Linked DNA regions of Elephas maximus indicus. The protein of the gene in region 2 binds, or shares a complex with, the protein of the main gene of each other region. Links are inferred from orthologs where the notes say so. Each region holds a gene or a part of one and is shown on either strand. Other genes may lie near its edges. The genes, in order: DDN and WWC1.

Region 1 (11,786 bases), on a different chromosome or scaffold from region 2:
TCTCTCTCCATGTCTCCCTTTAAGCCTAGTGGGATGGCAAAACTGACCAATCCCCTTGTTAGGGTTCCATATATCTTATTTGCATGGTCCTAAACCCACAAGGATGTCATACATCTTATTTGCATTATTAGCAAGCTGTCCAATCCTTGGTGGGCCACAAGCACCTCATTTGCATAGTCCCACCCAATCATTTGGTGAGAGTTATAAGACCATGGCAAAAAAGGCCACATAAATGTGATCCATCACACCGCAAAAGATAAATATCACCCAGGACCTCTAATTTGTCTAGAGTAGGCAGAATGAATTCTGATCCACAGGGTGATCCCAGCATGGACTTTCAGGGTGTTTGGGGCCAGGCTGATTGAGCACTGGGCTCAAACTTAGCGTTGATCAGAAACAGCCCAGCTTGGACCATGACTTTAACAGCTGCAGATCTTGGAAGAATTTTAAGAAGCTTACTTAGTTTTTCATCTTTATTAAGAATAGAGAACAAGTGAAAATGTGCTAAATGTATGAAATACACATCATGGTTTAAGACGAGAAAAAGCTTTTAGATAGGACAGGCTAAGGAGAAATATTATAGACTTTGTTTTAGTCAGCCATCGTTTGCCTAAGAAATCAATAGATACCATCCTACTTGGAGGCAGAAGTTGGATGAAATGGCTTCTAAGGGATTTATCCTGATTTTGTGAGAACAAGAAGAACAAAACAGATACAATAACCCAGCTAAACAAAAGGAGACCTTAGTAAAAAACCATAGTCTATTACAACACTGTTTTGTTTTCTGCCTCTTTTGATTGGGAGTTGTTTCATGGAAGGAAGCTACTAACTATCCCACCCTATGCAGAAACCCCAGAATCCAACAATAGCGTGTATACTTCCTTCATGAAGTCTCATCGCTGCTATGACCTGATTCCCACAAGCTCCAAATTGGTTGTATTTGATACTTCCCTGCAGGTGGGTGAACTGTTTTCCCTTACCCCTTCTTTGGAGCCTCTGGTACAATACCTCTCATCCTATCTCATCCCGTGGGTAATAGTCTTTTCCGTCTATGGGGTTAGTCTCCTATCTTCCCCAACATACCCAACCCCTATTCTTTTAAAGTCCTGCCTCCTGTGAATTTCCCTTTGTGATTATTATGCTTTTGGCTACAGGTGAAGAAAGCTTTCTTTGCCTTGGTGACTAATGGTGTACGAGCTGCCCCTTTGTGGGACAGTAAGAAGCAAAGTTTTGTGGGTAAGAAAAAGTTTCTGGAATACAATATTGGCATCTTGTGCTGGGCAGGGAGAGAAGCTTTGGGCAGTGCTGAGGGCTCTTATTTTGGCCTCTAGGCATGCTGACCATCACTGATTTCATCAATATCCTGCACCGATACTATAAATCAGCCTTGGTAAGGAATCCTAACCCAGTGGCCAAAACCACTTTCCCTGCCAAAAGCCCCTCATTCTCATTTCCTTTCCTCCAAGCAAGCCACAAGAAGTTAATGAAGCAGGGAGATCAGGCCTCAAATTCTGCTGCATCTGCTTCTAGGTGCAGATCTATGAGCTAGAAGAGCACAAGATAGAAACTTGGAGAGGTATGTAGAGGAGTGGGGGTTGTGGAAGGATGACGGGTTTGTGGAAGGATGATGGGCTGGAGAGTTCCTGGGACATGGTTTACCATGGTGGTGCGCGCGCGCGCGCGCGCACGCGCGCGTGTGTGTGTGTGAAAATTGTATTTTTCCCCTCAGAGGTATACCTACAGGACTCCTTTAAACCACTTGTCTGCATTTCTCCTAATGCCAGGTGAGTTCCAGCTACCCATCTGTCCAGAAGGGGAAGAGCCATGCCATCAGCATACCTAAAGCCCTAAAACAAAAAAACAAAAAAAAAACACTGCCGTCCTAAAAAAAAAAAAAACTTTTAGACAGCCAAAAATCCAGGGAAAGGGGCTAAAGAGAGAAAAGGCACTCCTCCCAAATATATATACACACACACACACACTCACAATCTTTAGGTCTGGTCTAAACACTGTCTCTCCAAACCCCAAACACCAGTTTTCCCTGTTTATCAACGTACGCTAAGGAGACAGTTAACCACCCTCGCCCCAGTACTGTGGAACTGATCATCATCTCCCACCTTCGCACAGCTTGTTTGATGCTGTCTCTTCATTAATTCGAAACAAGATCCACAGGCTGCCAGTTATTGACCCAGAATCAGGCAACACCTTGTACATCCTCACCCACAAGCGTATCCTCAAGTTCCTCAAATTGTTCGTAAGTGCTCCTCAGCCCCGTTCTTACTTCATAAATACTGGGGTGGAAAGGTGCCTGAGGGTGGTTTGGGGACCTGGAGAATCAAGCTGATGGCTCTTTCCTCAGATCGCTGAGTTTCCCAAGCCAGAGTTCATGTGTAAGTCTCTGGAAGAACTGCAGATTGGCACTTATGCCAACATTGCCATGGTCCGTACCACCACCCCCGTCTATGTGGCTCTGGGCATCTTTGTACAGCACCGAGTTTCTGCTCTGCCAGTGGTGGATGAGAAAGGTGCGAGATTGGGCAGAAGGAGGGAGGGCTCCTGGGAAGTCAGAGTGCCTCAGGGGAAATCTGCTCCCCTCTCACCTCAGCCAGGAGAGTGATTCTATGGGCAGGGGGAGCCTTAGATACCAGATCCTCCTTACTGAGCTGCCTCTGTCCCCGTAGGGCGTGTGGTGGACATCTACTCCAAGTTTGATGTTATCGTGAGTGATTATGGAGGGGCTGGGAGGTAGGGAAAAGGGGAGGGGGATGAGATGGGGTACTGAATGTACTGAGGGAGAAGGGAGAAACTTCCAAGCTTTCAAACCCCATTGGAAAAGGAATTGATAAACTGGGTGTGACTTGGGGGCATGACTGACAACTGCCCTAAGTCCCTCTGGTGAGGTTGGGTGGGCTGAGGTTTGGGGATTGGCTCCCTTCCCCATAAGCTCCTTCCTCTTTCTCCCTAGAATTTGGCTGCAGAAAAGACCTATAACAACCTAGATGTCTCTGTAACCAAAGCCTTGCAACATCGATCACACTATTTTGAGGGTGTCCTCAAGTGCTACCTACATGAGACTCTGGAGACCATCATCAATAGGCTGGTGGAAGCAGAGGTAGGGAGGGCAGAGACCCTAAAAGAGGGAGATGGGGGGGCAAATGGCAAGAGACCTGAGGCCTCAGAGTAGGGTTTGGGAAGCTGGGTAGGGTGTAAAAGGTTCACCCTAACTGAGGTTGGCACTGAACACCCCCTTCTTCCTTGTTGCTCTGTGCCAGGTTCACCGACTTGTGGTGGTGGATGAGAATGATGTGGTCAAGGGAATTGTATCTCTGTCTGACATCCTGCAGGCCCTGGTGCTCACAGGTGGAGAGAAGAAGCCCTGAGCTGGGGGAAGGTGTCAGGCAGCAGTAGGGGATATGCCCCTCTCACTGCCTGCCAGCAGCTCTGGAAATCACAGATGAAACCTTGAGAGAACTGTGACTCTGTTCCCTGCACAGGAGCCCCCTACCCTACTACCTGGGGGCCAAGGGAGTTGGAGGAGGAAGGAGAATAGATTTTTAGCTGCCCTTCCCCTCACACATGTGCGCAAGAAGATTTTAGCCCAGCCCATCTCAGCCCCTGTCCTCTTAGATGTAGCTCTCTTTGTGGGTCAGCAATGGGTTCTGTGCCCACCCTCAGGCAGATTCTGATCTCTGAGAGATCCCTAGACCTCACCCTGCCTTTGCCTCTATTCCTGCCCCTTACTTCACCCTAAGATAATAGCACAGCAACAGTCTTCATAAAGATGTTTTTATTCATCCTATTTCATGCTGTATGGGGGAGGCTGAGTCCAGTTAGTGACATTTATTCCCATAATGGAAGTGGAGAGGATCATGGGGAGGAGGGCTGTTGGGTTCCTGTGCTGTTTTTATATGAAGGCAGATGGGGGTTAAGTGGAGGATGGAGTGGTTAGCCTAAGTTATTGCTTTTCGTGGCAAACCTAATTAAAATGACAGGAACCTCTTCGTGGCATTGCGGTGTTTGATTTTTGCAGCTGATACATTCTACTGCTCCAACCCTCCTCCTTTATATGGCTTCTTCAACTCATCGTTAATAACAATAATATACATTTATGTTTATGTGTGTATGTATAACTTACTGTGTGCCGGGCACCATTGTCAGTGCTTTGCCTTACATATATTTATTTAGTCCTCAGATCAACAGTAGATACTATCGCTATTCCAGTTTTATAGATTTAAAAAAAAACTGAGGCACAGGAAAGTTAAGTAACTTGGCCAAAGTCACACAGCTAGGATTTGATCTCAAATAGTCTGGCTCCAGAGTTCATGCTCTTCACCACTACACTGGACTTTCTGCCTGTCTAATTCTCCTTTAATAGCTGTTCCTTGCTCAATTCCCTACTGCCCTCCTTATTGTCTAACTTTCCCCTTTGCCTGGACCATAGCTGGGACCCAAGGAGAAGCCCATGACAATGTTAGGTTGCCACAGAGTAGAAATGCTGATGCAGAGAGACCTGCCACTGCCATCAACTTTTCCCAGTCAGGGAAGCTAGGCTGTGTTTGGATTCTGCTGATCCGTTACTATCTTTGAAACTACAAATCCCTTGCCTGTCTTCCAAGGTGAGAATGAGCTGGAGAACGGAGGGAAGGGAGGAGCAGGACTATGGTCGGACCCATTCTCTGTGCTGAAATTGTGGACCAATACAGTAGGCAGCACTAAGCACCATAAGGAATGCTAGTTGGGTATGAGCCAAATTCTGGGTATCATTTAACCTCTGCTGTGCAGGTATGATACAATTTCCCATCCAAGAACAGAAGCAATTGCAGAGTAACTCCTTGCCCTACCTGCACTATGCCTAACTAAGCCTTCTAATGAACCCCAGCCCTACCATGCTGGTTTCCCCAAACCAGGCTTCCTGATGGGACATGGGAAAGCATCAAGGCACTTGTCAGAGCTCAGCTGTCAGTGCTGCATGGGGGGTATGGAGAAGTCCTCTGCCTCTGCGTTCACCTCTTCACACGCCTCACAGCACATTCCCAAACTTGGGGGAGGGAGGCTTTCAAGTAATTAGAATTGGGGTATGTTTATGTGTGTGTGGGTGGGTGCATGGTGGAAAGGACAGATGTCTCTATGTCACATTCCATCATGAAGGAGGGTTTGTCTAGGGAGGAGGCAAGGACTTTAAAAAGCCTTAGGACTCTTGGTGGGACCTGGGGTGGAAGGAAGCACCTTCAAAGCAAGAGTCATCTGCAGCTGGTAAGTACATGGATTCAGGGGGGATAAAGTGGATGGGACAGGGGTGTTTGGGTTCTCTCTAAAGGCCCATGTTAAGGAGCAGGAGGCCTAAGCTCCCACTAAGTCAGTCTTTGCCCCACAACAACCCTTCTGGTCCCATCCCCTTAAAAAAAGGGTCTGTATCCAAAGGACTGCAGATACTTTAGTGGAGAACAAAATGGGGTCTCTCGCTCTTCCCATTCCCCCCCAAAAACCAACCAGCCAGTCTCAGAGTCTGAGGATGGAGCAGAGGGAAAGACAATAAAATTTGGGAGCTTCATAGCCTTCTATTCTTACCTAGTCCTCTCAGGATAGAGAAATTGTCCCTTCTTCCTCAGGAGCCATTGCCATACACATTCTTCCCCCCACCTCCCTCCCGCCCCTCCACTGGAGCTGCTGCCATGGTTTCCAGGCATGGTTGCTAAGTCTCTGCATGTAAGGGTTGGCGTGGGCTGTGCTGCCACTAACATTGCCATGGTGAATCAGGGGACACCTGATATAGGCTTGGGGGGAGGGATCATGTGGATGGATGTAAGCAACAACCCCCCCAGGACAGAATGAGCCTAAGAGGTGAGCATCTTGAGTATCACTTCAGGTGGGGGCTGAGTGAGCTAGGCATTGTGGTGGTGGTGAGGGGAAGCTCTATACTGGGAAACTGGTTGCTTTTATCATTGCAGTTGCTAAGGGATTGGTTGTGCCAAGGGAGCACACCATTCCTCCTCCATCCCTTCTGAAAGGGTCCTCCATAAGGCTGGGCAGAGCTTTGTGGGCATAGAAGAGGGTGACCCCAACATTCTGGCTTCTGGGCTGGGGGAGAGAGCCTGCTGCTGGGAGAAGGCTTCACGGGTGCCCAAGGACAAATACCTAGAATGGGAGTGGTGGCGCAGTTTCAGTGGCCAAGCCAGACTCGTGTGCCCCACTGTGCCAGCAGCTCTGTGTTTCAGCACCAGGGTGAGACGTTAAGGATGTGGGGGTCGCCCTCTTTGAGCCTGGGAGAAGGATCTCCCCCCCCCCCCCAGTCATACAAAAGCTGCCTGAAAGCCACCGCCTCTTCCCTCCCTCCTGGAAGCTGGTTACTCATCTCTGCACCCGAAGGCCACTGCCGCTAAAAATAGGCCCCCAGCCGTGGGCCAGCCCCTCCTGCACCCCAACCCCATGGAAACCAGCAAAGTGGCAGGCAAAGACCTTGAGTTCCATTCCCACCACCACTCTCGGTCCGAGAAACTGATGTCCAGGCAGGAAGTAAAGGGCTGCTGAACCCTGGGGGTCAGGCAACCTGACAAGCAGGAGAATGAAGAGTTAAAACGGCGGGAAGGTTGGAGAAATGGGTGTGGGGGAGGGGGGGCAGTCAGCTTGGCAAAGAAGTCCCCCCGCACACTCGTGCGGGTCCCATCAGGCTTGGGGGACAAGAGCAGTGGGAAGGGGCGTCCAATCCCGGGCCCCAGGGGGCGGCCGTGCACATGGGGGAGGTAGCAGCGCGGAGCCGTCCGCGCCGTGTCACATGCGCGCGCACACACACAGACAGGCACACACGTGTGCCCGGGTATATATAGTCCCCAGTCCCTGGGCCCGCCGCTCTGCAGTGGGCGCCGGCTCCCTGGGCTGGGAGGGGGCTCTCGGGGCGGGTGGGAGGGTGGGGGGCCGGGGTGGGGTGGGGCAGGATGCTGGATGGCCCGTTATTCTCCGAGGGGCGGGATAGCCCCCGGGAGCTCCAGGATGAGGAGTCTGGTAGCCGTCTCTGGGTGCAGAAGTCCAAGCTGCTGGTGATTGAAGTGAAGACTATTTCTTGTCATTATAGTCGCCGCGCCCCTTCTGGACAACCCATGGATTCCCAGACCAGCCACTGGGCCCGCTGGACCCAGAGCCGCACGTGAGTGAAGGAGGGACCAGGGAAGAGAGTGGAGTGGTGGGGGAGGGGTGGGGTCTGCACCCCCCTGCCCGAAGGCACCAGCGAGCGCTGCTGGGCTCGCCTTGCCTTTCCCACGCCTCCTTCCCCCACCCCACCCCGAGGGCTGGGACCTGACTCCTTCAGTGTTGTTTTGGGGGAACAGGAGTGGGCGTGAGAAAGGGCAGGAGGTGAGATGGGGCAGAGGCTGGTAAAGAGTGCATGGAGAGATGGTGAGGAGTCCCGCTTCGACTTCAGCCCTAACATATACGCACGTGCACACGCGCACACACTCACACACACCCCTCCACACTGCGGCCCCAAGTGGCCTCCAGTGCTCCCGGTTCCCCCGACCTCGGCTCCCCTCCGCTACAAACTGCTCACCTGGGTTCCTGCTCATTGTCCCAGGTGTGGGCCGCGTCCGGGATCCCCTGAGCCGCCGCCCCGCCGGCTCTGGGCCTCCAGGGTGCTGCAGGAGGCGACCAACTGGCGGGGGGGGCACCCGGCCGAGGCCCGAGCCCGGGAGCAAGAGAAAAGGAAAGCGGCGTCGCAGGAGCGGGAGGCCAAGGAGACCGAAAGAAAAAGGCGCAAGGCTGGTGGGGCCCGAAGGAGCCCCCCGGGTAGGCCCCGCCCAGAGCCCCGGAACGCCCCTCGGGTGGCCCACCCTGCAGGGCTCCCAGCTTCCTCCCGGCCAGAGCGCTTTGTGCCGTTGGGACGGGCGCCCCGTCCATCCGCACAGCCTCAGAGCATACTAGGCGCGGCGTGGCCAGGGCCCTGGGGAGGTCGGCGGCCCGGGCCTCCCAGCTACGAGGCTCACCTGCTGCTGCGAGGCGCTGCCGGGACCGCCCCGCGACGCCGCTGGGATCGGCCGCCACCCTACGTGCCTCCACCTTCTTACGATGGCCCCCACAGGACCCTGGGGACTAAGCGAGGCCCCGAGCTCACCCAGGCGCCCGCCTCCCCAGACCCAGCTCCAACCCCGGCCAGGACCGAGACAGGGCGCGCAAAGAAGAGGCTGGATCCTCGTATTTACCGGGACGTCCTCGGGGCTTGGGGTCTCAGACAGGGGCGGGGTCTCTTGGGAGGCTCCCCAGGCTGTGGAGTGGCTAGAGCTAGATCGGAGTTCGGCAAGGGGGCCGCGGAGAGAAGCCTGGGGCTCGCTGTTGCTGGCCTGAGCAACGGTAGTGACAGCCATTCAGCAGCCAAAGCTCCAGGGAGCCCGGGCGCCAAGACAGTTCCTACAGGGCCTGCAACTGCTACTCCTAGTCCCCCGCGCCCCGCCCCCAGGTCCAGGCCCCACCTCAAGGGCTCCAGGGAAGGGAAAGAAAATGTAGAACAGAGCTGGCTCCTCAAACGCTGGATTTCCTCCCCCAAAAAGCAGCCGCCCCGACATAGCCAAACCCTCCCCAGACCCTGGGCTCCAGGAGGCACGGGATGGAAAGAGTACCTGGGTCACAGAGAGGAGGCAGAAACCGAGACCCTGAAGGGATGGAAGGTGACCCGCCGCGCCCACACCCTGCCCCGCAGTTCCCGCCGCCCCACTTGTGGAGAAGGCGTCTTTGTCATTGACGCCACTTGCGTGGTGATTCGGTCCCAGTATGTTCCGACTCCCCAAACCCAGCACATGCGGCTTTTGCCCTCCGGGGTGCCGCGCGTGGGGGGAGATGCCCCTAGTCGACTGCAGTGCGGCAAGGAGGAGGGCGAGGGTCCCGCGGCCTTTCCTTCCCCTTGCCAAAAGCTACTGTCGAGCAGCGGCCTTTCACACCAGCCCAGCGCGGGGCGCGGGAGCGAAGCTGAGGGCGGGGAGCCGGAGGATTCCTCGCTGCAGGAGCGGGCCTCCCGTATCTTGGGGCTTCCTGTCAGCGAAGTGAACCTGCGGGACGTCCCCAGGCAGCCAGGTAGCCCAGAGCACCTGGCCTTAGGCCCAGCGGCTTCGGGAAGCGTGGGCAGCGCCGAGGGCTCGAAGGAAGTGACAGCGGTCCCGCGGCGCGTGGGTCGCAGTTGGGCGCGGACCCCGGGGCCCTACGCTGGGGCCCTGCGGGAAGCCGTGTCCCGCATCCGCCGCCACACCGCCCCGGACTCGGACTCGGACGAAGCTGCGGAACTCAGCGTGCATAGCGGCTCCTCTGACGGAAGCGACACAGAAGCCTCGGGCACCTTCTGGCGAAGTGAGCAGACCCAGCCCGGGGTTGGGGGCCCCACGGCGGAGCCCCGGGAGGGCGGGAAGAGAGTAGAGCTAAACGGCAGTATCCGGGAGATTCTGGGTGTCATAAGCCGAACGGAGGAGGCCCTCTTCCGTGTGGGGGACAGTAAGAGGACCCCACAAGGAAATAGGGAGCAACAATGAGAAACCCCCATCTTGGAGTTGTGCCCCTCAACCCATCCTTGGGCCCCCCATTCTTTTCTTTCCCACACTCTTGCTTCTTTTGTCCCTGTACCCCTACCCCTTCCCATTCCCATACCTGAAGCAGAAGCTGCCCAAATGAAAAGAACAGGGGCCATCTGCACATTCATTTATTTATTTTTCAGGAGTGGTGAGGATGAGCGGTAGACTTTAATCTTGCCACATCTAGGGCACATGAGTGAGAAGGTCATGGATCTTCAGCAAGGGCTGATGCACTGTTGTGGAGCTGAGCAGAGAAGCCTAGCCAGGATCAGTTATGAGAGTGGGGATGGTGGCAGTCACAGGAAGGCAGGGCCCTGGGCAGGAGGGAGAAAGTGATGGGAAGACCTGAGAGCACTGGGTGACCCTGTGACAGAGGGGCTGTTGGTAGAAGAGGAAAGGCTCTAGAAGCAGCCAGCAAAGCAGAAAGAGTGCTCACTTTGTGTCCCGTGCCTTTGGTTTCAATCCCAACTCTGCCACTGACTTGCTAGGTGACCTTAGGCCAGTCACTCTCCCTCTCCAGGCCTCCAGACCACCTGGTATGTAAAATGAGGGAGTTTTAAGGTTCATGGTTTTATCTCTGACATTTTGGGATCTTTGGGGAGGCTTCTATCTCATATTCCCCTCCACAAACCAAGGGAGAGAGTTGAGAAGAGTCTAAGCATCCCTTGGTGGCCTCCATTTCACCTGATATCACCCTCCGTTGAGGAGACTGTCCAGTGTTTGTAAGAGAGCTGAGGAGTAGGCAAAGGGCTCCTATCCTAGTCTTCCGGCATTAGGTGAGGGCTTCCCACTCCAGTTCTGTGACTGTCCCTGGCCTGTGGTGGTCTGAACTGGGGAAGGAAGGCAGCCAGTGATAAAGCTTGGAACCTCTACTAGGCCTTCTCTTTTTCCTCCTCCCCAACGTTCCTTATTTCTGCTGTGGAACGTTGCCACGACTTCCCAGGTGGTATCGCCCACCTGAAAGAACCCTGAGAATTTCCCTAATTTCTGCCTCTGACAGAAATCCTCGAGGCAAGGAAGAGGGAGGTTGGTCCCAAGGAGCCTGAAGGTGTGGGGTGTGATACTCGCCATAGCCACTGCGGGGCGCGCGCAGGTCGCGGATTTCCCCGGTTGCTAGTTTCCGAGTCCCCCACTACCCGGCACTGCCAGTTAATCCATTGATAGCTTACCTAGTTACCGCGCGCCTGTCCCGCGCCTTGCAGCCTGCAGCCGTGCGGGGCCAGGAGCAGGCCTTTGAGAGCGCGCCGAGCCCCTCCTGTTCTCATCCACGCCAAGCGGCTTGGGACCCAGACACTGAAGTCCCTTTTCTCGCCGATCCTGGACGCCTCCTCCGTCTCAGCCATTTACTAGCCATGTGAACTTGGCCAAATCACTTCACCTCCTTGAGCCTCAGTTTCCTCATCTGTCAAATGAGGATTTATAAACACCTACCTCGCAGGGTTGTTGTGAGGATTTAATGAGATAATGTATGTAAAGCGCCTAGCACAGTGCCTGGCACACAGTAGGCGCTCAATAAATCTAAGCTTCCCTTTGCTCCAGACTTGGCACCTTCTTCCTTACACCGACCCTTTCCCTGTAGCGCCCCACCCCCAGTGCTCCTCGCTCCTTCCTGCGCCGTGGGGGAGGAAGACTCCTTTCTTTGGTGGAAACTCCCGATCCACCTCTGTCTTCCCCAGCTCGGACTCTCCCTTTCTTGCTCCCCCCACCCTCGCCGGCTCTTCCCACTGCCCTGGCGCTTTCCCCCCGCCCCCCATTCCGGGCAAGGGCTGAGTCAGCCCGGGTAAATTTAGCTGCCGGCTCGGCTGGAGCGGGGGCTTCGCCCAGACTCAGTCTCCGGGTACTGGCCGGCCCCCGGACTCGCCTCTGCCCCCACCGCCACCGGGTCCCGCCAACTCAGGCTCGGTGTTCAGGTCCCCAGCCCCGTTTCCAAACCACTTACAGTTTTAGTCTCCAATTATCTCGACGTCACTCCCCACCCGAACCGGGAGAGGTTCTGGACAGGAGGGGAAGGGGGCAGGGCCGCCTAGAAGTCCACCGGACCCGACCCAAACCTCTGGCTGGCTGGCCTTGGTTCATTTGGGGGTGGGGAGGGTAGGGGGCTGTGTTCTTCTTTTGGGTTCTGAACCAGAGGGGACAGCGTTGGTCAGAGCGAGCCACCAGGAAGGTCCATTCCAAAATCTGCCAGGAACCTAGACTGCCAGGTTTCTAGTTAGCTTTTGCTGGAGGAGATAAAGGAAGTGGGGG
Region 2 (11,176 bases):
TCTGTGACCAACATGAGGTTCCTGACTCAACTTCATACAATAAAAATTGTTTCTGAAATAAGATGAGCAAAAGCTCCTCCTCAAGCCATGAGAGAAGTTGCTGAGTCCTCTAAGCCCCAGTGCTTGGCTCAAGGACCCAGAAACTGAGCCCAGAGTTCCCAGGTGGTTCTTGGAAGGTCTGAACACAAACCGCCGAATGAGCAGGAATCAGGCTTCAAGAACCTTCTCTGGCAGAGCCAGTTCCAGTGATCCATTCTTCCTCAGAGAACAATCAGCCTATTTGTTTTTGCACACCACTAGGCTAAACACACACGGAACGCTGGCCCTTTGCTGGGTGCTCCCAGCAGCACCTGGAGTTATTCTGAAAAAGAGCACTACTCTGAGGGGCTGTGCCCCTGGTTCCCAAAGGACTTGTCACCTTCCCAGACTGGCCACGCCTCGGTAAGAGCCTGAGGTGCTGCCGGAGCCTTTGGCCCAGTGGGCATGCCCCAAGCTGCCCACTGGACTCTCTCTGGTTGTTGGGACGACCGTCCTCTGGAATTTTGGCCTCCCAGTCGTCCCCTTGGTGAGAAGGGGAGAGAGTTGGCAAGGCAGGCTGCCTGGCAGCTCTTCGAACCCCCTGGTGAAAAGGAAGCTGAAAACTGGATTCCCTACCCCCAGCAGCCTCCACTCCGGACAGCACACAGAACAGCTCAGCCCCAGGGGCAGGAATGTGCCAAGACATTCTTTAGGGTTGGTAACCGGAGACGCTATTTTGTCTTCAGTGGCTAAGAAATCACTTTCCTGACTGAATAACCATTTGACTGAGTTCTTTTAAATTCAGGGGAATGGGTGGGTATCTCCTTCATTCAGGTAAGGAAAAAGCTGAGACACACACACACACACACACACACGGTTGATGAGCAGAACACACACACACACACACACACACACGGCTGATGAGCAGAATGTTTTCAAAGTTTTTTGTTTCTTAGCATTAACTAGTCCCAGAGATGTAATTATCTAGGCAAAATTTAACACTCTGTCCTGCAGGGTCACTGTGAGTCTGAATCAACTTGATGGCAACAGGTTTTGTTTCCCCTCCCCCCCAAAAAATTTGGCTGTTAAATTGGCTGTTGTTAAATCTCTCCCTTCTCCTTCTCATGGCCCCATCCCCATCCTACCCACTCCAACCCCCCATCTTGCTATGGAGGCAGGAGGGTTAAGGAGAGGCAGAGGGGTCTTATATCCGAGAACTGGCAGGGTCCTTGGAGAGCATCTAATCAATTATCTCCTCAGTGGAGAACCTGTGCCTCAGAGAGGTCAAGCAATTTGCCCGAGGCCACGCAGCCAGCTGTCCACACTGCCTAACACACTGGGCAAGATGGAAATTCCAAAGACCCACAGTGGATGCCCTCTGATCAGCTCTTTCCCCAAACTTTCAAAGTTGGTCTACCACGACAGTGATCCCCAGGGTTGATTTCAAAACTCCCCAGCACCCCAAACTCAGGGCCCTCCCACGAGCCCTGTGTGGTTGGGATGACTAGGATGTGCGAAGATGCAGAAATAAAAAAAAAAAAAAAGAAACAAACAACAGCAACAAAAAAACACAGACACTAAATTGCAAAATGAGGAAGGTGCCACTTAGGTGCCAATGTATCTTTAACTCCTCTCCAATGCTTGCCAATCTGCTGGGAGAAAAAAAAAAAAAGGCTGAGCAGGCAACAGTATCTAGATAAAATATAATGGCACTAGTTTGTTTTATCTTCACTGTACTTTTTAAGGTGACCTTCTATTATGGCAATAGACACTATGTTTCTCATTTGTGAAAGTGGTACAAAAATTTTATGAGTTGATTTAATGCCAGATATTAAGTAAACAATAGCAGAAGTGGCATGTGAACACAGCAAAAAACCATGAAGGTAGTCCCAACTGCTCTAGCCAAGTCAGTTTTCCACAGAAGCTACACACCTGCCCTCTTCCGAGGGACAAGAACTATTGTTGTTTGGGAAGCTTCCAGACCTTCTGCTATCCTCTCAGAGTCGCATGACTTGGGGCAAGTTAGCAGTGCTGGGTGTGGTCCTCAGACCTCCAACTTCTAACTCAGTGGCCCAAGTTCTGAGGAGGATATGTAAACTTGAACTTGTCTCTATCCTAGGGCGGGGGGTAGGGGGGGAAGCAAACCCATTGCCATAGAGTTGATTTCAACTCCTAGGCCCTGAAGGACAGAGCAGAACTGCCCTACAGGGTTTCCAAGTAGCTCCTGGTGGATTTGAACTGCTAACCTTTTGGTTAGCAGCCACAGCTCTTAACCACTCCACCACCAGGGTTTCCTATGAGAGGACAAGGAAAATGGGGCCAAGGAAAGACTGCTCAGCTCACCAAAGCGGTAACAGAGCCCCTGGTGGCAACTGATCCTGAGGGGCTCAGGGAAGAGAAGTGTGTGAGGACCGCATACTTGGAGGAACTTTTGAGCTGGTAAAGAACTTGGTGTTTGCAGAGTGGTGGAAAGATCAAAATATTTGAGCAAATCACACCACTGGGCCTTCAAATTGTCCCATCCCTTCCAGCTCTTAAGATTCCCACTATTGCTCCTTCCCTTCTAAGCAAACTATTAATCTGACAAATAGGGAAATTGAGAATCAGAGGCTAAAGCAACTCTTCCCAGCATTAAACATTTTCTTCCAGGTTATACAGTAATGAGACATGCAGCAAGCTGTGGAGCAAAGAGAAGGCATCCGATGAATGAATGAATGAATGAATGAATGAATGAATGAACGAATGGAAGTGCTTGCAGAAACTACTGGGAATCTCAATCCACATTTTCCTCTTTTTAACTCACTACTTTCTACACACTCCACCCTGGACCTCTGGGGTCCACAAGAAGAATCCAAATAACTAACACTGGCTGCTTTACAGGCACCTGACCCCCAAGGTCACACTGACCAGGTAAAAGTTATACATTCCTGAGACACTCTGAACTCTCTACAGACCATATCAGCAAAGGACAACAAAGTGGACTCTGTGGGTGTCCTCTAGGACATACATGGGAAGGGGGAAAGAGTATGCAATAAAATGCCCAGCAGTCAAAACCAGAAGAAAGTCTGGAGAGCTAAGCGACAGAGCCATCCAGACTCCATCTGCCTCAGCAAAAAAAAAAAAAAGCTGTGCTACAGCCAGCCTGGTGCCCACCAAGGTCAGGACGAGCTGGTGCAGGGCTGAGGAGCCAAGGTTCCCAGAGGGAAGAAACGGAGGAGAAAGAGGTGATGGGCTGGCCTTTCCCGGAAGCCTCTCACCTCCATCAACGTCCTAACAGCTTCCAAGTTGCAGTGAGGGAGAACTAGTCTCCCTGATCTGCCCTCCCTAGCTCCTTCCTTCCCTTTCCATCCTCGGCCTCCAGGCCCCCTGGCTGCTCCCTACTCTTCTCAGGAGCACCTGCCAAAATGCACACTCCAAGCAGCCTTCCCCTCCTCCAGCAGTCTCCCACTGAATCCTGGGTCACTACCACCCCCTCTAAACCAGATGCTTCCCATCCCCCCAGATGCTGGGGAAAGCCTCCCCGGGAAGCCCCAGCCTCAATCTGCTAAGTAGCTCTCCCGCCCCCGCCCAACCTCTTCTACTAAAGGGGGCACGGGGCGGGGCTACAGTTTAAGGTCAAAACTCCGAGCAGGTGCCGGTTGGGGCCTAAGACTTCCATCTGGTGGTGGCGGTGGGGGCAGCCTGGGCCAGCTCACTGGCCGTCCCCTCCTCCCAGCAGCCCACCAGGGCAGGAGCGGCGCTCCAGAACGGGCTCAGGGGCAATCTGAAGAAAGGGGTTTAGGCTTGCAGAACTCCGCTGCCCCCCCGGCTCCAGGGCAGACTCTAAGAAGCGTGTCCCTCTACCCAGTCCCGGCCGGTGGCCCCTGGGGCAGGTGGGGGCGTGTGCCGGGGTGTAGGGAGGGACATCCCGGAGTCCTACCTGTCCCGCGGGTCGATCCAGCTGGTGGTGCGGCTCGTGTGGTCTATGTAGTAGACCTTGCCGTCGAAGTCGCGCGCCTCCTCCCAGCCCTCCGGCAGGGGCAGCTCCGGCCGGGGCATCTTCCCGAGCGCGACCCGCGCTCCCCCATGCAACTCCTGGCCGCCTTGGAGACCACCGGCTCAGCGGCTCCGGCCGGCCATCTCTGGCTCGGCCGGCCGCCGAGGCACCATGATCGGAGGGAGGGTGGCCGCAGATGGGGGGCCCTAGTGGGGACCGGCCGGGGTGGCGCCGCTGTCCATGCGTCCCTGCGGCCCCGGCCCGGCGCCACCCGCTTCTCCCGCTGCCGGCCTCTCACGCTGCCATGTGCGCCGGCAGCAGCTCGGTGCGGGCCCGGGTGCGCGCCCAGCCGGCAGGGCAGAGCGAGCCTAGCGGAGCTGCCTGCCCTCCTCCGCAGCGCGGCGCGCTGCGCCCTCCCCGCCGCCGCCTCCCGCCGCCGCAGCTTCTTCCCCCGAGCCGGGCACTGTCCCCTCCTCCGGGCTCCGCCGCTCTGCTCTCTCTGGGTTTGCGACTTCTGCCTCCGCCAGGTGCGGCCCGGGCGGTGCAGGTAGCCGCGCTGCCCCGGAAACGGGAGGCGGAGCGCGGAGCTCCTGGGTTCCCGGGTCCCCTCCCCGCGCCCAGCGCCTTGAGGGCGGGTCCTAGGGCTAGGGACGCGCCCCCTCGTGGGACAGACCGAACCACCGGCTACTCCTTCGCTGCTCTTGACAGGGGAAAGGGAGGACGCCCCTTACTCTGACTCTGGAGCCCCCGGAGGCTAGAGCAAGACTTGCCTTACCTCTGCTTCCCAAGGCCCCTGGCTTTCACCACCCCGAGTGTCCAGGCTCTTGGCACAGGTGGCCCCAAATCTCACAGCTCCCTCCTTTCTTTGCTTTGTGGACTCAGGAGTCAGGCAAGAAGTGGTTAAACGGAAACATTCTTGCAAATCAGCGAACATAAGTTTTCCAGGATCTCGGGTCCCTTCCCCCAACATGGCCATCTGTCACCCTCATATTCAGTCCTTCTCCCCACTCAGTTTCAGTCCCTACCCCACCCCACTCCCGTATTGCAAATGTAGCTCTGTCTCCTTAACCAGAAAACCAAACCCGTTGCTGTGGAGTCAATTCTGACTCACAGCGACCCCACAGGACAGAGTAGAACTGTCCCATAGGGTTTCCAGTCGGCCTGGTGGATTCTAACTGCTGATCTTTTGGTTAGCAGCCCTAGCTCTTGACCACTACACCGCCAGGGTTTCCTCTGTCTCCTTAAAATTAGAAGTGCTTTGGATCTCCTCCCCTGGGAAGGGTTCCAGAGGGTGTCAGGGAAACACTTTGTAAAAGTAATAATAATGATATTGTTGTTAGCTAAATTGAGTGCCTCCTTGTGCCAGCCTGTGGGCTAGCAGCTTCACATGCTGTTGTCGCCTGTCATCCTTTGAGGTAGTTATTATGTTATGGATTTGCAAAAGAAAAAAGAAAGCAAAGTCCAATTTTTTTTTTTTTTGAAAATTAAAGAACTAAAAGAAAATTAGAGACAGAATGTTTTTTGAGAGATTAACAAAAGTAAAAAAGAAGTAGCATGATTGAATTAGGATCGATCAGCTTTGCACTTGGACATCCCCTTGATGGCTATGTTTTCCAAGTATGTGTTTAACCTTTTTATTTTTTTGGCCCAGAGCATACGATGGAATCATGGAAAACTGGACTGGAAGAATGAAGCCTGGTGTGGTGGATTCTCTTATCCCACGTCTTCCAGAGGAGCAGGCAGCCTGTGCCACCTGGGCCAGGTGTGCTGAGCAAAGGAGGGAGTCCCATGTTTTTGATCTCATCCCCTCTAGATAGGGAAGACCCCCCTACGGTGAGCTCCTTACCGCCAAATGCCTTTCTGCTAAGTTAGCTATTTCCCTGGAGCCAGGCCTATGGCCACCTTGCCTCCTTTCCTCCCTTCCTTCTTTCCCTCCTCCCTTTCTCCCTTCCTTCCTCCTTCCTTCCCTCCCTCCTTCCCTCCTTAAGTGTCAGGCACACGAGTCCAGGAACATGGGCCTGAGGCTGGCCCCTAACCACCCCAAATTAGGATTTCCCTGTTCCTTTAGGAGAGGTTCCCACAGCTGTCTATTTTCTCTGCCTGGGATAAGTTTTCAGTATATAAAAACTTTCAATTATTGTTTTGGGTAATAGCCCAAAAGTAAAGCCAACATGATACTTAGTGTCTCACATACATGATGTCATTTAATCCTCATAACAACCCTCTAGAGTGGGGGATACTATTATACCCATGAGAAAACTGAGGCTCTAAGAGGCTGGGTTGTTGCCCAGGGATACAGAACTAATGAGTGGCAGTGCTGAGCCAGGTGTGTCTGACTCCAGTGCCCATGCTCTCAACCACGAAGCTATACTCCTTTTATTATTTTTGTAAATTACGTGTGTGTGTGTGTTTTTAGATAGTATTTTTGGTGAAGGTTTACACAGCAATTTAGGTTCCCCTTCAACAATTTCTACACAAGTTGTTCAGTGATATTGGTTATATTCTTCACAACATGTGAGCATTCTCATTATTTCCATTTTGGTTCCGTTTTCATTAATCGAACTTCCCTGCCTCTTACCTTCTCATCTTTGTTTTAAAGTAATTGCTGACTGCTTGGTGTTATATAGGTGATTTTTTTTTTTTTAAAGGAGCACAGTGCTTTTGGGTGATATTCATTATTTTTTTAGCCAATTTGTTATTTAGCCACAAGCTGACCTCAGGGGTTAATTCCAGTTCAAGATTTTGAAGAGTATCTCAGGGCAACAGGGAGCCCTCCAGTCTCAACCAGTGCAGGAGATCTGTTTTTGTTGTACCTTGTTTTAGGAATTTGAGGTTCTCTTCCACATTTTTTTCCCATTCCATCAGGATCCATCTATTGCGGCCCTGATTTGAAGGGTCGGTAGTGGTAGCCGGGCGCCATCTAGTTCTTCTAGTCTCAGGTTAGCTAAGGCCATAGTTCATGTAGACTATTTGTCTTGTAGACTAGTTTCTTCTTTGAGGCTTAGGTTTCCTTCTTTCTCTTTTGTTCCAGACACGTAGAGACCAATGGTTGTATCTTTAGATGGCTGCTCGCAAGCTTTTAAGACCCCAGACACTACTCACCAAACTGGGATGTAGAAGATATGCCTCTGTTGACATTTGCTTCAACATCTTTGACTAAGAGCAAGAGCTCTGAAATCAGACTGTTCAGGTCCCAAACCTGCCCTATTTTCTAGCTGGTGAGTCTCAGTCTTAGGTCTGAGGAGAAAAAAAAAAATCACATGATAATATCCACCCCTGAGCCCACTGCCATCAAGTATATTCTGACTCATAATGACCCTATAGGACAGAGTAGAACTTCCCCATAGGACTTCCAAGACTGTAATCTTTATAGAAGCTGACTGTCACATTTCTCTCTCAATGACTGGTGGGTTCAAACTGCCAACATTTTGGTTAGCAGCTAAGTGTTTAACCATTGTGCCACCAGGGCTCCTATCCACTCCTTAGGGCTTGCTATAATGGCTAAGTGAGATGATAGCTGTAAAGGGCTTGGTACTTTGAGCTACCATCTCCAGGGCCCCGTTATGGTACGTTTGGATTACCATGCCTGGTAGCACGCACGCCTCTATTAAATGTTGATCAGTGAAGTGTTTCCTGTTCAAAACACAATGCCATGTCCTTTCCCCTCCTGAAAATTGTGCATGGCTCCTTGTGATAGCCCTCCCCATTGCTGCTTTCATCTTGTTTTCCAACCAAGCTTTCTCAGTGGTTGGCATTGGCTAAGAAGGGAAAACACCTCGTAGGCTGCCAAATCCAACTTTCTTTTTAGTCCAGGTATGCAAGCCACTAGCGTTTCAAAATGGCTTGTTCTTTTAGACCTTTAGACCTGGGCTGCGAAGAGACCGGAGTAGATACTGACTCCTTAAGGCCTTGATCTGTTCACCCTTCTCACCTCCCACCCCCACCCCACAACAAAAGAATCCTAGGTTATCTCCCAGAAGCTGCAAGCTGGGTGAGGTAATAAAACAGATGACTGCCTGCCCATGTGATGGCGGATGAATCATCCCCAGGCATTCTGCAAGGAGGCTGCGGGCAAACGTGAAAGGGATTAAAGGGTAAAGCCAGCTCAGCCATGTGATAGGCTGAGTGGACGTTATTCCACAGGTGACTGAACTTCAGGAATCTGAAGACAAGAAACCGAGGTCTCTCTGGGCCTTCCTCCTGGGGCTGTAGCTGGCCACCTGTTGGACAAGATGGGCATGGCCAGTGTTAGAGCCAAGCAGAAGGAGTGACCGCAGGCCTAACCCTTTCTTCATTTGCTTTCACATCTAGGTGACCCATGGGAGACACCTGCGTCTGAGACAGGTTGTCTTGTTTTTAAGAAAGAGTCCCACTTAAATCCTTTCCCCATGGTGACGGGAAAGAAGAAAGGCTGTTTTCCACACACATTTCAGAGAATTCAGGGAAACAGGCGAGTATGTTTCATGGAGAGAGGTGGTAAGGAGGAGAAATTAAGCTTAAAAAAAGGAACAGAGATGTCAGCAGCAGCTCACTCCTGTTAGCATGTGCATTCTTCAAGGAAATGGAGGCTCAGGACACCTCTGCTGAGATTTTTCTTCCTACTCCATGCCTGTGCCTCCCTACCTCATGCTGGCTCTCCCACATAGCTTGGGGAGCGATTGAGCAACAATGTACCCTCGCTTTAGTCCTGCATTATTTGAGGATCATAACTGCACCATTAATTGTTTTTCTTCAATGATGGGAAAATGTCCTAAGCCAGAGGATGTTAAGGTGGAAGAAACCTTGGCAATATGAGAACCCAGGCAGTAGAGATCATTTCTTATTCATCTCTGGGTCCTCAAGGCTTAACACAGTGCTGGCAAATAAAGTAAATCTAGCATGTTGTTGTTAGCTGCTGTTGAGTTGGCCTCCAACTCATGGTGGGCGACTTTATGCACAAATGGGATCAGACCATTGTGATCCACAGAGTTTTCATTGGCTGAGTTTTGGAAGTAGGTCTCCAGGCCTTTCTTCCTAGTCTTAGTCTGGAAGCTCTGCAGAAACCTGTTCAGCATCATTGTAACACGCAAGCGTCCACTGACAGACAGGTGGTGACTGTGGATCAAGCGCATAGGCTAGGAATAGAACCAGGCCTCCCACATGGAAGGTGAGAATTCTAACACTGAACCACCACTGCCCCCTTTAATCAAGCATAGACTAGTCATTTTACAAACAGGGAGCTGGAGTTTATATAAACAATGACTCACTGCCCCAGTTCTTCCCGGTCCCATTTTACAGACGAGGAAAGGAAGACCCAGAGAGGCAAAATGACTTTTCCATAGTCACACAGTAAAAAATAGAGCCAAGGTTCAGCCTCAGCTCCTTCCATTGGGTTTTTAATTTTCTAGTGAACAGCCAGAATTGCTGAATGCCTAGGAAGGAGGAACTTCAGGGCAACAGTCTGGTTGGAAGGGGGTGGAGGAGTAGGTAGGAGACTAGTCTTGAACTCTTGCTTTTGTTTGGGTTACATTTCTATTTGGAATGGTTGGAGAAGGCTCATGGAGGTTGGGGAGCCAGTCTAAAGCCTGCGATAGCCAAGCTTCAGTGAGAGAGCAGCACTGGGATGGGGATTTGAATTCTGAGCTGAAGAATCCAGTGGACCAACCTGTCCCTCGGCAGCTCTCCTGGTGCTGTCAATAAGACCTGCTGGGGTTTAGATCCAAGGAGCTGAGCTATGTCCATGCAAGGAGGGGCACTTTTCTCCCTCTGTTGCCTGACTCCTCCTTCTCCACCTTTTTTCCTTCTGGCACATTCATCAACTAAGCTGGATTTCTCCTGGACAAGAGGTCACCCTGGGGCTGGCAGGAGAGGTTGAGCGGCCACTTTCTTTCTGACTCTCACATCAGAGTCCTCTGGGTACTGGGGGCTGGGAGCTGTTTTGTCTTTGAAGTTTCACCAACTAGGAAATGAATTATGCACTGAAGGAGGAGGTGGAGATGAGATCTCAGTTCCAAGGGTGCGGGTACGGAGAGGAGAAAGAAAGTGGGAGTGGGAGGAGGTAGTTCCTGCAAAGCCGTGCTTTTCTACCCTCCTACCCCACCAGCAGAAGCTGAGGCCTGGTGGGAAACAGGGGTGGGGGTGCAAGTGCGGTAACCTGCAGGCTGGCTGAATTGAAACCTCTCTGGGGTATTTATAGAGCTTGCATCGCCATGGTACCGAGGCGCTTAAATTAAACTCCAGCACAAATGCTTAGAAATGCATTGGAGGAAATGCACCTTACCTGCCCACTGTGCACTCTTTGACCTCCCCCCTTCAGAATTTCACCCCCTTCTAGATGAGCAATCTAAGTGAACGCTACAGGCTACGCAGCAAGAAGGGTGTAGAGTTGGGGCTTAGGCCCAAAGAACCTGCCTCAGCAGGGTGCTGTATGGAGTGGAGGAAACATGTGCAGAAAAAAAAAATCTGTATCTAAAACTTGGCTCTGCATCTTGGTTGATGTGTGACTTTGAGTATGAGATTGCATCTCTCTGACCCTCAGTTTCTGTGTAAAATGAGAGCAACAATACCCACTTCGCTGTCAACCTGTGACAACTGAATGAGATCATATAAATAAAGTACTTAGCTCAGTTACTGAAACATAGGAGGCACCCTTTATAGTTCTTTTGCTTCCCTTCTCAACTGGTTATTCATTGATTCAACAAGACTGTCTTGTCTGCCTACTGTGTGCTGGACAATGTGTTGAGTGCTTGGGATACAAAGGTGGTTTCTGAAGCTTGTGGTTTAATAGGGGGAAAAAGGTTGCCATTCAGTCGGCTCTGAGCCCACGTGTATGAGTAGAACTGTGCTCTGTGGAGTTCTCAATGGCTGGTTTTTCAGAAGTTGATCATCAGGTTTTTCTTCCAGTGTACCTCTGGGTGGACCCAAACCTCCAACCTTTCGGTTATCAGCTGAGCACATAACATTTGCACCACCAGGCCTACAATAAACAAGTCTTCAAATGAATAGATCACTGATAAATAACATGAAGAAAACAAACAGGGCTTTAGACAGAATTTAATACTGTGGGGATTGATAGAGAATATCCTTTAGACAGGGTCAGAAGAGAAGGCCTTTCTGAAGAGGTAACATTCAAGCAGAGAGCAAAGGTGGTCGGCAATCGAAGAGCCAAAAAACATGCATTCCAAGCTAAAGGAACAGCAGGTA

The links.
Region 1: the proteins of WWC1 (region 2) and DDN are in contact, whole or in part, in a crystal structure (PDB 6J69), measured with the Mus musculus proteins. The link is inferred for Elephas maximus indicus from reciprocal best matches to the Homo sapiens genes WWC1 and DDN. Residues at the interface, in NP_740749.1 of Mus musculus: Glu13, Glu14, Ala15, Arg16, Asp17, Tyr23, Ile25, Asp26, His27, Arg30, Thr31, Thr32, Ser33, Trp34; in NP_001013763.1 of Mus musculus: Tyr227, Val228, Ala229, Pro230, Pro231, Ser232, Tyr233, His237, Arg238, Thr239.

Annotation. Positions count from the first base shown.
Region 1 is NC_064822.1:104,418,782-104,430,567, reverse strand, and holds DDN (dendrin), read left to right. Parts: upstream 1-6,932; coding exon 6,933-7,141; intron 7,142-7,564; coding exon 7,565-9,503; 3' UTR 9,504-10,636; downstream 10,637-11,786. Other genes in the region: PRKAG1 (5'-AMP-activated protein kinase subunit gamma-1), read left to right, coding at 848-957, 1,155-1,236, 1,332-1,390, 1,531-1,576, 1,730-1,784, 2,128-2,254, 2,360-2,525, 2,682-2,719 and 2 more. UniProt on the Homo sapiens protein: Promotes apoptosis of kidney glomerular podocytes. Podocytes are highly specialized cells essential to the ultrafiltration of blood, resulting in the extraction of urine and the retention of protein.
Region 2 is NC_064820.1:186,548,135-186,559,310, reverse strand, and holds the start of WWC1 (protein KIBRA), read right to left. Parts: upstream 4,573-11,176; 5' UTR 4,057-4,572; coding exon 3,938-4,056; intron 1-3,937. UniProt on the Homo sapiens protein: Regulator of the Hippo signaling pathway, also known as the Salvador-Warts-Hippo (SWH) pathway.